Linked DNA regions of Neodiprion lecontei. The protein of the gene in region 1 purifies or fractionates together with the protein of each later gene. This does not show direct contact. Links are inferred from orthologs where the notes say so. Each region holds a gene or a part of one and is shown on either strand. Other genes may lie near its edges.

Region 1 (5,319 bases):
ACCATTTTGCAATTCTGCACGGTCTGACAACACTACCAGGCATAGAATAATCAGTTGAGGATTCCATGGCGCTCTGATCTTGTCCACTGGCAGTAGTCGTCACAAATTCCTTGTACATGTTCAATTAAAATTCATTTTCATTTTGTAGAGGTTTCAAACGTTTATTTGATTCTTACAGCTGCACGACTCATGCATAAATATAATGCACATGGGGCAACGGACGTCACAGGCTTTGGCCTCTTGGGTCATGCCCAAAACCTGGCCAAACATCAGAAGAATGAAGTTTCATTCGTTATACACAATCTTCCGGTTATTGCCAAAATGGCAGCAGTTGCTAAAGCATGTGGTAACATGTTCCAATTGCTTCAAGGCCACTCCGCAGAGACCAGTGGCGGATTGCTCATCTGTCTTCCACGAGAACAGGTTTGCTATAACCATAATAAAAAATAATCCTAAGAATGAAAAAACTTGGACCTGCTGAATACAGTAGGGCATTTTAGACCGGTAAAATGTCCTAAAGAACGAGCAGGAAGATAAATTTTTGAGGATTCCCAAGCTGCGTCAACAATGTGTTGACTCGGTGTCGTCAACTCTTAAACAATCGAAATTTTTTCTATGTGTACGCTTGTTTCCAATAAGGTGTATCCAAGCTTTATTTTTCGGCGTTTATTTTTAGGCTGCTGCATATTGCAAGGACATTGAAAAACAAGAGGGTTACCAAGCATGGATCATCGGGATCGTTGAGAAGGGTAATCGTACAGCGAGGATAATCGACAAACCGCGAGTCATCGAAGTACCCGCGAAGGAAAAAGATGGTGAACTCTGGTAGAGGAGTGATCTTACGGATGATTATGTTATATGAGTTTGGTATCACGCATTCAAGGTGGTTAGATCTTGCAGTGCTAATAGCTGTTGGTTAGCAATTATTGTAAGATCGCCACGAATGTTGATCGGATTATCGAATAGACGGGAAACCACTTTGTGTTTCCCAAGTTCTTGGGGAGCTTGATAATATCTAATATACGTAAATATATATATATATATATATATGTGTATATATATATATATATATATATGTGTGTGTGTGTGTGTGTGTTTTTATCTTATACAATACATGATCGTAGAACAATTCATGTATAAGATAAAAACGAAGAGGCAAAGGAAAACAACGCCAGTAAAACAAGTTAATGAAGAGATATCATCAGCTAGTATATATACATTATACATATATGAAAAACATAATTACTATAAAATATAAAACAACGGTTTGCTTTTATACAAGACGAAACTGTGATTTTTTATTTTTTATCAAATTTCAACGTTGAGTGCATCTGAAAATGAAAGCAAATTCCAGTTAACGTTGATATTATAATCACTTTCAATTGCATAAACAAAGTGAGAAAAAGAAAATTTTCAATTCAACAGTTACGTGTAATTATGTTGACTTATTTTGACAATGTTGTTCCAAATTCCTGGTTCTTTTCTTTGCTTTCTTTTCTCAATATTTCCTAATCCTTGACTATTAGGGGCGTAGCTATTATGCATATGCTTGTAGAGAAACAATGGAAAGATTAACTCTGTTATAATCAAACCGAAATTTATCTGGCAAGTTGGCGTCGGAACGATGAGGCCGAGTAAACTAATTCCCTATAAATAATAATGAAGAGTGAAAGTGAAGAGAATTAAAGTAAAAGCTTATGGCGAACTAGCCGGGCAAGCTTGGCTAACCAAAATGTATTCTCGTTGAGACAGATGACAAAAATTCTAATTCAAATGCTTATTACACCCAGATTGCAATAAGTTACCGAATCTGGGTAAGTTATAATTTGCATATCTTGATTGAGTCAATTGCTCTAGTTTTCATAAAGTATTTTTCCTTTGTTATTCATAATTAATACCGTACTTTTCTACAGACTCAATTATTCGTACCCTAAAAAACGTTTATGAAATCAGACCATAATAATTCTGCGAGCACATTTGTAAACAGACGTTGGTAAACTTTGAGAATGATGGGGGTGAAATTTGTCATATAACATTTTAATAAAGCGCTACTTTGTCAATAACATAGTCGCCTCTTGGTTATTACCGTTCGCCACTTAATCGTACGACACCCTCCTAACCTAACCGTGATGTGGGTGTGTATGCATATATTAAACTCATACGTCAGCCATGAAATCGATGCACGCGATTGTCAAAATGGTGGTATTGAGACCGTCGACAGGTAAGGGTATCACGAAGGCTACATTTCTGTCGTTGAAACGGTACTTGAATTTTATCCGAAGCGGTCGTACAGCACCAGGAACCACCTCTAATGGGCTTGGATGTGATAAAATAAAACGACCATTGTCATGGTGTTTTGTTTTGAACTATGAGAGGCAGTGTGTCTGTATAGTCTATGTGCAGGTTTCGAGTGGTTGACAAGACAGCGCCACGGTCGGAAGTTCGAAATATATTGCTTGGAAAGCAATTCAAAAATTAAGAATCTGACGCTTGAAATGACGCTTTGAGAATTGAAACGGCAAAGATTTGAAATCGAAGAATCGGATACTAGTTTCCGGGATGGAGAAATACGTTGTGGTCGGAAGGATTGGCGAAGGCGCGCATGGGCTGGTATTGAAAGCTTATCACGTCGAGCAGGGCAATGAGGTGGCGTTGAAAAAAGTATTGCTCAAAAAGATCGACGAGGGTATTCCGACCTCCGTATTACGAGAAGTCAAGACTCTGCAAGAGCTGAGACACCGCAACGTAAGGAATAGCAGCACAACTGCGGGTCAATTTCATAATTTTTAACCATCTTTATGATCGATACCCACAGGTAGTCGAGTTAATCGACGTTTTCCCAGTGGGTTTGGATTTTGTCATGGTATTCGAGTACATGCCATCCGGCGTGTGGGAGATAATTAGAGACTCGGAGAGGCCGCTAAACGATTCTCAAAAGAAAACTTACGTTAAGATGTTGTTCGAGGGTGTATCGTACATGCATGCAAATAATGTCATGCACAGGGTGAGTTTAGAGGGTTTAAACAGCGTCTTCAAACCTACATCCATGAATAACTTACACTGGTTTGAACACTGTTTCAACATTTTATGCACACGCACCAAACTTCAATACCCTAAAAGATGACAGACAGAAGCTCTGACATTGAATTACACAATAGTTAACCGTCTAAATGAATTTAAACAACTATTTATCAAGTTAGGCTGATCAGTTTAATTGGATAAAGAGTTTAAACTCATAAAACTCTGGTTTCCTAGGATTTGAAACCTGCCAACTTGCTTGTGAACCGAGAGGGCGTGTTGAAAATAGCCGATTTTGGTCTTGGCCGATTGGTCTGGGACGACAACAGTCATTCCTATTCGCACCGAGTTGCAACACGATGGTATCGAGCACCGGAATTGTTGTACGGTGCACGTTATTATACTACAGCGGTAGACATATGGGCGGTGGGATGCATTTTCGGAGAAATACTTAACAGCGCGCCTTTATTCGCCGTAAGCGTGGATACAAAAGTTACGAGGTTGAAGTTGGTAATATTATCGCCACGAAAAATCGGGGAAAGAATCACTATTTCCTGAATTTTACAATGATTTTTAAGGGACTAAGATTTCAAAATACGAGTGTGTTTTGTTTTATGACGGTCTACTGAATTTTAGGCAATTTCAAAATGGCGGAATGACGGTTTTTCCACGGCATCAATCGTTACAATAACGTTACTAACTTCAATATGATGATCAGTTGCATCGTCCTTGTACATGCAATTGCGCACCTGTCCTTCGGTCTGTTTTAGGGAGAAACTGACATCGAGCAGCTGGCTATCGTTTTGAGACTGCTTGGCTCGCCGACGACGGAATCTTGGCCCGATTTGACTACTCTGCCAGATTACAACAAAATCACATTCCCGTGCCACAAAGGTTTACCCTGGGATTTGATTGTACCAGATGCGACACCGGATGCTATAGATCTGATCAAACAGCTTCTAGTCTACAACTCATCGAAACGCTTAACTGCCTCATCGGTATGTTAGATTCTTAGCAGTGTAATCAGACAGACTTAATTTTCTTTAACGACTTCTTGTTTCAGGCACTAAAACATTTATATTTTCATTCGCGGCCGTTCCCCTGCCCTGAATCTGCTTTGCCGAAACCAACGCCGGATCATCGGGTTCAAGTAAAGCCGGAAGAAGTTAAAGGAAACTTGAAACGTACAGTCTTGTTTCAAAATTTGTTGAGCATCGTGTAACCTTGCTAATCGTTTTACGTCGATGACTATATTTTGCAAAGATCTTACGACATCCGACTGTTACCCAAGAACTTCTATTTGGCTTACTTCTAGAAAGGCAAAACCGCTAATTCCTTCGTTAAAAATCCCAGAGCGGTAAAACAACTTGGCGTTTTCAATTGATTTTTTCTGAGAATAGAATGCTAAGGCGCGGTCTCTGTGGAAAATAACAAAGAATATCAGTAACAAGACGTGTGAGTGATCGAAGGCAACTGCTAAAGGGCCTCACATTGCATACATTATAAATTTTAATATATAAATGATCAGCAACTTTTTTCCATGTTTATTACTATATTAGGTAATTTAAAATTTATTATTGTACAGTAGTAGCCTAGTGATTATGTGTAGATCTTAGACAATAACCATACGGACAATTATTGATTAAAGATTCGTTAAAGAAATTAAAAAAAAAAAACATAGTCGGCGCGTTAAATTAATTTTTCTTCCGAGATCTGATGATACTAAATAATTACGATATTCTTAGCGAGTGCAATGATATACACGAGAATGTCGATAATGATAAAAGACAGCGAAGTAATACCAGCAATAATAACAGTAACGATGACAATAATAACAGTAACGATGACAATAATGACACTAGAATATAGTTTCACGTGTAAAATGCTTACAATATTGTCTCACAAAATGTGCCATAAATGTGATACAGACAGCCATAATCAAGCCATGAGTAAGGTATACCTATATGAATAATCGTCCATATGGCTGTTGCTTTGACATTTATATCTGCGTTATTGTAATTTGTCAAAAATATATTGTTCAATTTAGTCTACCCTATTGTTGGTTTTCTTCGCGCTGGAGCGACGATAGTATGTATTGAAAAGAATTTCTCTTTCAGTGCGTTGTTGAACCATTTTAAAAATTTTATTTTCGCATTCTTTTGTCCTTTTAGACGATGTTTCATTTATTGCAATAACACCTGTAATCGCGATAATAATTGCAAGCGTTTTGTAATCTTCTGTTTACTTGAATGTACCAGGAATATAGATTTTCTGCAAGAAATAAAAATATTTTGAAGCTAA
Region 2 (5,843 bases), about 27 Mb from region 1:
GCAATCACATAAACCTCAAGTAAAAATAGAATAATAAACAATTATGTGCGTTTCCGCAAGGAAATATTTTTTCACTGCTTCCATCAAAGTTGACGCCCGAAGGATATTATTCCGAAACTTGATGAATTAAAAAAAGAAAGAAGATTAAGAGCAAACAATCATTGGGCGTCTCTCTCGTTTTGTCTTTGTCATTATTTTTCTGTGCGGGCATGTGACGATTATAAAGAAAAATATTGAGAGTTGAAAAAAAAAGTGAAGCAATCTATTCGAATCTATTTATTTCGAAGGATCGTATCATCATTGTTATTTGGTAATGCATAGTTGTTGAACTTTTTTCTTTGTCTCCCCGTGCCGACATATTTCAACAAACTGGTATCCCTTACCTTATCTGTAACTTTGGGTCCTTTCGGGGTGTCGGCGGTACTCCCAGAACATGAAATCAGCCATACGAGGCCGAAGATTAGTAGGAGTTTCATTATTTATTAATGAGAATAACGAATCGAGATGTGAAGGAATGTCAGGACGGAGCGGCGGAGAACCGGGAGAACCGAGGACGAGGGATACCGACCTAAACTGACAACGGATCTTGACGCAGATCCGACAAAAGCAATAGGTGGTCTGCTCTGATTGGCTGAGCATTTGCCACGTATATTACAGGAGAGAGGTGCCGCTTTGAAACGAAGGCTTCTCTACTCTGGAGAAATATTTTTTAGTCGTGCTGCCGTATTTTCATCGATATACGTATGTATGTACGTGCATACGTACGTAAATACATACACACGGCAACTGATCACTGTTTTACGATGAGAATGAATAAATATTATGCGTCATTTAACAGTTTAAATCTCAGGCGAAGGTATCGAAGAGAACAAAAAACATGGTTTACCGTTTCTATTGAAGAAAAAAAAATGTACAAAATGATCAATTTCTATATTACGTCTGAACTATCGACTATATACGACGCTTCATAGTCTAGCAGCTCAACCAACTTATAAATATTTTTGATAGTCAACGCACTGTGTAGTCAAGTCATCTTAAATTCCAAAAACCTTCATATATGAATTACCTTCATGTATTCTCGGTACACAAATGAGTTATTTTTATCCCTATATTTTCGTAAAGACTTGACTATTTGGAGCAAAAAACGTTCGTAGTATGGTTCCAGTATGTCTTCTGTTGTTTGACACATATCTTTAGTAAATTTAATCCGATAATGAATTAATAAATTCCGATGTCCATTTTTCAAAGATCAAGTTCGAGGACGAGAGGTAAAGATAATGGCAAAGAAAAGAAACTCTTTTTATGTAACCCTATCCTGATTTACGCGTTTTTCCATGCGTGTTTTCCGTAGACAAAGTACCCGTTTCTATGATGGTCGAATGAATCTGCGAATGCACATGCGCAGAGTACTGAAAAGACCACTTCTAAGTCCTCAGAGTTAAAAGTGGTCTTTTCTCTACTGGACGCATGCGCTGTCACGATCAAATCTGACATTACGCGACCCTAACCTCAATTTTGTGCTTCGCGAAAAAACGCATAACATACTTTTGTTATATGAAGAATTTAGTGCAAAAAGGAGGCAACGGTTTTATCACGTCGCGTACTTGCAATATTTATCTTCGGCTTTACCTACGACTTATATTGCAAGCTGACGCTCGGCTCGGAAAGACCGAGTTTGCCTCCTTCGTACACACTATACGATTTCCTCAAACATCTTAGTTGAAGATAAGGAAAAATTTCGGTTATAGAAATGAAAAGGAACAAACACATTTAATTGATCAGCAATTATTTTGTTTTACGATAAGCCGAGCAATACAGAATTCTTCGTGATGACTTTATGTACCTTTTGAAAGTTCGGCGTTTAAATCGTCTGCTAGCAGTAGCGATCGGTTCGGGCGCTAGCGGATACCATAGGCGGATACATGATTCATTGTCAGACGAGTTGATTTCTCGTGTACTGCGCGGTCGTGCGTTTGACCGCGGTGTTGACGAATAATTATCGAAAAAACCTGTGATATTAATCTTCTACATAACCCAACGAGCCGTTCGTGTGAATATTCCGAACCAGTAAAGGTACGTATAGACAAATTCCATACTCGCGTATAATTTTTTTATCCCTGTGTCTGTCTGGTTATATTCATAGAAACTCAATATCGTGCGTGATGTTGAATGATGATTTTGCACAATTCGTCTAATATTCTGTGCTCCTACTTCGGTGAAATAATAAGTTCAGTTCGGCATTCTTTGTTTTACTCGCTTTTGAAAAATTCTTGCTTTGTTTATGAAAACGACCGTGACGAATCATAACATAACCAAAATCAGTCGTCAAATTTTTACCTCGTAATAACAATTTGCCGGTAACTGTTAGCCGGATTATCATAATCTACGAAAAAATAGAAGTATGGAATGTTATTACTTGACACGATGATTTACGTGTATATACAATTGCTCTTTACAATTGCATCCGACTTTTCTCTTGTCATTAGAGCACTGTCGAAATGGATAACGAAACTGTTGATAACGCTGGCAGTCAAGCTGATTTCATTCAGAATGAGCTCAACTTTGATGTTGACCTGAAAGATCCTTTAACAAAAGCTACGCTTGAAGATCACGAAGAAGATGAATGGATGGATGTACTAGGAGTTGGTCAATTGAAAAAGAAGGTAGTCAAAGCTGGACAGAAAGGAACAAGGCCAAATCGGTCAGATATTTGTAGCATTAATCTGACTGGAAAATTGGAAGATGGAACTGTCGTTGAAAAGTATGAAAAATTCACCATTCAATTGGGAGATGTCGAAGTGATACAGGTATGATACATTGGCAATTATTGAATTAAAGATATATAGAAACTGTTAACAGTCATACAAAAGTGTTTTTATGGCGTACTGGAATAATTCAATAATTTTTCTTTTATGCCAAATAATTTATATATGCATAAAACAGGGACTAGATCTGGTTATTGCATTAATGGATGTTGAAGAAGTTGCTGAAGTTGAAGTTGAAGCTCGGTTTGGTTATGGCGACCTAGGAAGGGAACCAGACATACCTGGTGGTGCTAAACTTTTTTATACTATCGAGTTGTTGTCTGTTGAAATGGAACCAGAAATTGAAACCTTGGGCATTGCTCAAAGGAAAAATATTGGGTAATCAAATGAGTTTGTAGACTTGGAAGCTAATTGACATGGCTTGATTAGGATTTTTGCAATCTTTCTCATTCCATTTTTTCTCTAAATTCATTCCCGTCGCTTTCCAACTTGGAAGAAAAAATCAAATAATACGCACTCTTACCATAAGATTATTCTGTCACTTGTATAAACGGAATGGCAATTCATGTAATCGAATATACTATTATTATTTCATAAAATATTCCACGTTGCATAGGAATAAAAAACGGGAGCGAGGAAATTGGTGGTATTCTCGAGATGAAGCATCGCTTGCAGTTCAATGCTATAGAAGAGCTTTGGATTATTTGGATGAAACTAAAGGTGGGATAAATTATCCCCAGGGTGATCAGGAAGAGTCTATAAGTAACGCAGACCTCCAAGCTTTGCTAGAAGATCGTATGAAAGTTTGTAATAACCTAGCAGCAGCGCAAATGAAAACAGAGGCATATGACGCAGCATTGAAAAGTGTGGAAAATGTCCTGAGATGTCAGCCAAAAAATGTCAAGGCGTTGTTTAGGAAAGGTAAAATTTTACAACATAAAGGGGAACGTGCTGCTGCCTATGCAATTTTGCTACAAGCTGCAAAACTGGATCCCGACTCGAAAGCAATCCAGCAAGAATTGGCTATTTTGAAAGAAAAAACAGCCAAAGATGCCAAACATGAAAAAAATTTGTACAAAAAGATGCTCGGAACAGACAAGCAAAATGGTTCGCCAAACAAAAACACCAATAATCAAAACCCAAAGACTACACCTTCCACTATAGCATGGAGTTTGATTGGAGGGGCTGTTGCTGCTATAGCAGGAGTTATTGTGTACAGGTATAACATTTTCTAAACTTAATACATCATACTCTCAATACATAACGTACATCTCACAATATTTTACTTGCTACAAAGATGGAAGCCGATGGATATCATGAATGAAAATTAGAAAAAATGTTTATGTTGGCCTTGTGTGTGTTACTCTGTACAACATGATTATTTGACTTTTATTGAATTACTTATTTTGAGAAAAAAGTCATTTTTGATGCTTTATAAGAGCCGACAGTGTCCTTGTGACAACAAATCTGATATTCTAACTTATTGAATTTTTGTTCACTTTGTCTATAATACGATATATATTTTGGTGTTTATTCTATAAGAGGTATTGATGTTACCTTAATATATTCTCGGTTTTCTTATGATTGTGGTTTACTTGCATTTATCAGAAAGAGATTTATGATTGATATCGAGAATCATATTGCGTACCAAAAACGTAGCATTTCTTTTTCAATATTTAAAGACAAATACTTTACATGTAAAGGGATTCAGGGTTAACTCTCTAAAAAAGACATAATTTTGTAACAAATCAAATTAGTAGCAAAACCGAACATTCCTTGAAACATCATAGATTAACAACAATTATTATAAACGAATTGTAATTAACCTTACTCTGCATGCAATCTGAATAAAACAAAGTGAAAAAAAACTTTTGATACGAGAATTATACATACAAGCGAACTAAACACTGTACGCATTGTATAGTAAACTAAAATCATTATTTTCTTCTACATTGAAAACAATGGCGTGCATTATCTGTGCACATTTGCCCTTGACAAATTTGTTATCTATCGTGTTATGTGATGCTTAAAATAATTGAATCATCATTAATAAAGGAAAATTAGCTGCAGTTGACTAAATGAATTGACAACATTAGTGCGATTGGATTTTTTGGAGATATCACTGCTTGGCAAGAAGAGTCTTGTGCAATTGCGCATATGAAACTGAGTACTCTGTGTTGCTCGAGAAGTTTTCGTTTAAAGTGGAGTTATACTGGACAACTAAACTGTCGTTAAATTCAATGTTATAGACTGACTATTGAGTGATAAAACTAATACAATACTTGTTAAATAATAGGCATCTTAGAATTAAATCAAGTGTGAATATTAATTAACCAAATAAATCATTGATTAAATTTAATCTCTGAGTATTGTACTTGTTACATTATTTTAACAGAGAAGTTTCTGGAATATTGAAGGTAATGAGTATTTGTCTAAGTTCAATGAAAATCTTCACATATAACAGCACCAGTAGTGGGACCCTACCCGGTACTGAGACACTTGGCTATTTCAACGCAATAATAAGTGGAAATTTCAATTGTTTCAATGAACAAAAATTGAAACAATTAAAATTTCCACTCATTATTACAATGAAATAGCAAAGCGTCCCACTACCAAGTAGTGTCCCACTGTTGGTGCCGTTACTTATTCTTTGTACCGTTTCAAAGCAATAAGTTTTTATAGATCAATGCTCGGAAATGCAAAAATGTAGGAAAATCATTGTGCAATTATGTATATATTATTTTTATTTCATATTCAACATTCCACCAATGTAATACACGATTTTAAATAATTTATCAATAAAATTTATATGCATTCATTTTTATATATTACAATATTAATACTGAAGTTTTGTCACTTTCTAAAACTAAATTTTTGCCTCTAGTACCTACATTATTAGGTAACATTATTCAAACTAGAAATTTCTCTTACACGACCTGAAAAAATATAGTCGTGATATCTAGCTAAAAATTCTTTTTTTGCGCAATGTGTTATCATCAAAATATAGATTTTTATTGCAGGGTCAATGTTAGGAGCTCTAGGTAAGACGTCTACATTCTCTAGGTATAACGTGCGATT

The links.
Region 2: the proteins of cyclin-dependent kinase 20 (region 1) and peptidyl-prolyl cis-trans isomerase FKBP8 purify together in Homo sapiens (affinity purification with mass spectrometry; 5 studies listed by BioGRID and IntAct, with this or other methods). This does not show direct contact. The link is inferred for Neodiprion lecontei from reciprocal best matches to the Homo sapiens genes CDK20 and FKBP8.

The regions. Positions count from the first base shown.
Region 1 is NC_060264.1:35,207,124-35,212,442, reverse strand, and holds cyclin-dependent kinase 20, read left to right. Parts: upstream 1-2,200; 5' UTR 2,201-2,559; coding exon 2,560-2,745; intron 2,746-2,815; coding exon 2,816-3,004; intron 3,005-3,255; coding exon 3,256-3,492; intron 3,493-3,788; coding exon 3,789-4,016; intron 4,017-4,081; coding exon 4,082-4,240; 3' UTR 4,241-4,779; downstream 4,780-5,319. Other genes in the region: inactive selenide, water dikinase-like protein, read left to right, coding at 179-423, 677-829. UniProt on the Homo sapiens protein: Required for high-level Shh responses in the developing neural tube.
Region 2 is NC_060264.1:8,164,345-8,170,187, forward strand, and holds peptidyl-prolyl cis-trans isomerase FKBP8, read left to right. Parts: upstream 1-1,900; 5' UTR 1,901-2,073; intron 2,074-2,110; exon of another isoform or gene 2,111-2,399; intron 2,400-2,486; 5' UTR 2,487-2,498; coding exon 2,499-2,807; intron 2,808-2,943; coding exon 2,944-3,143; intron 3,144-3,381; coding exon 3,382-3,984; intron 3,985-4,820; coding exon 4,821-4,839; 3' UTR 4,840-5,124; downstream 5,125-5,843. Other genes in the region: peptidyl-prolyl cis-trans isomerase 5, read right to left, coding at 384-476. UniProt on the Homo sapiens protein: Constitutively inactive PPiase, which becomes active when bound to calmodulin and calcium. Seems to act as a chaperone for BCL2, targets it to the mitochondria and modulates its phosphorylation state.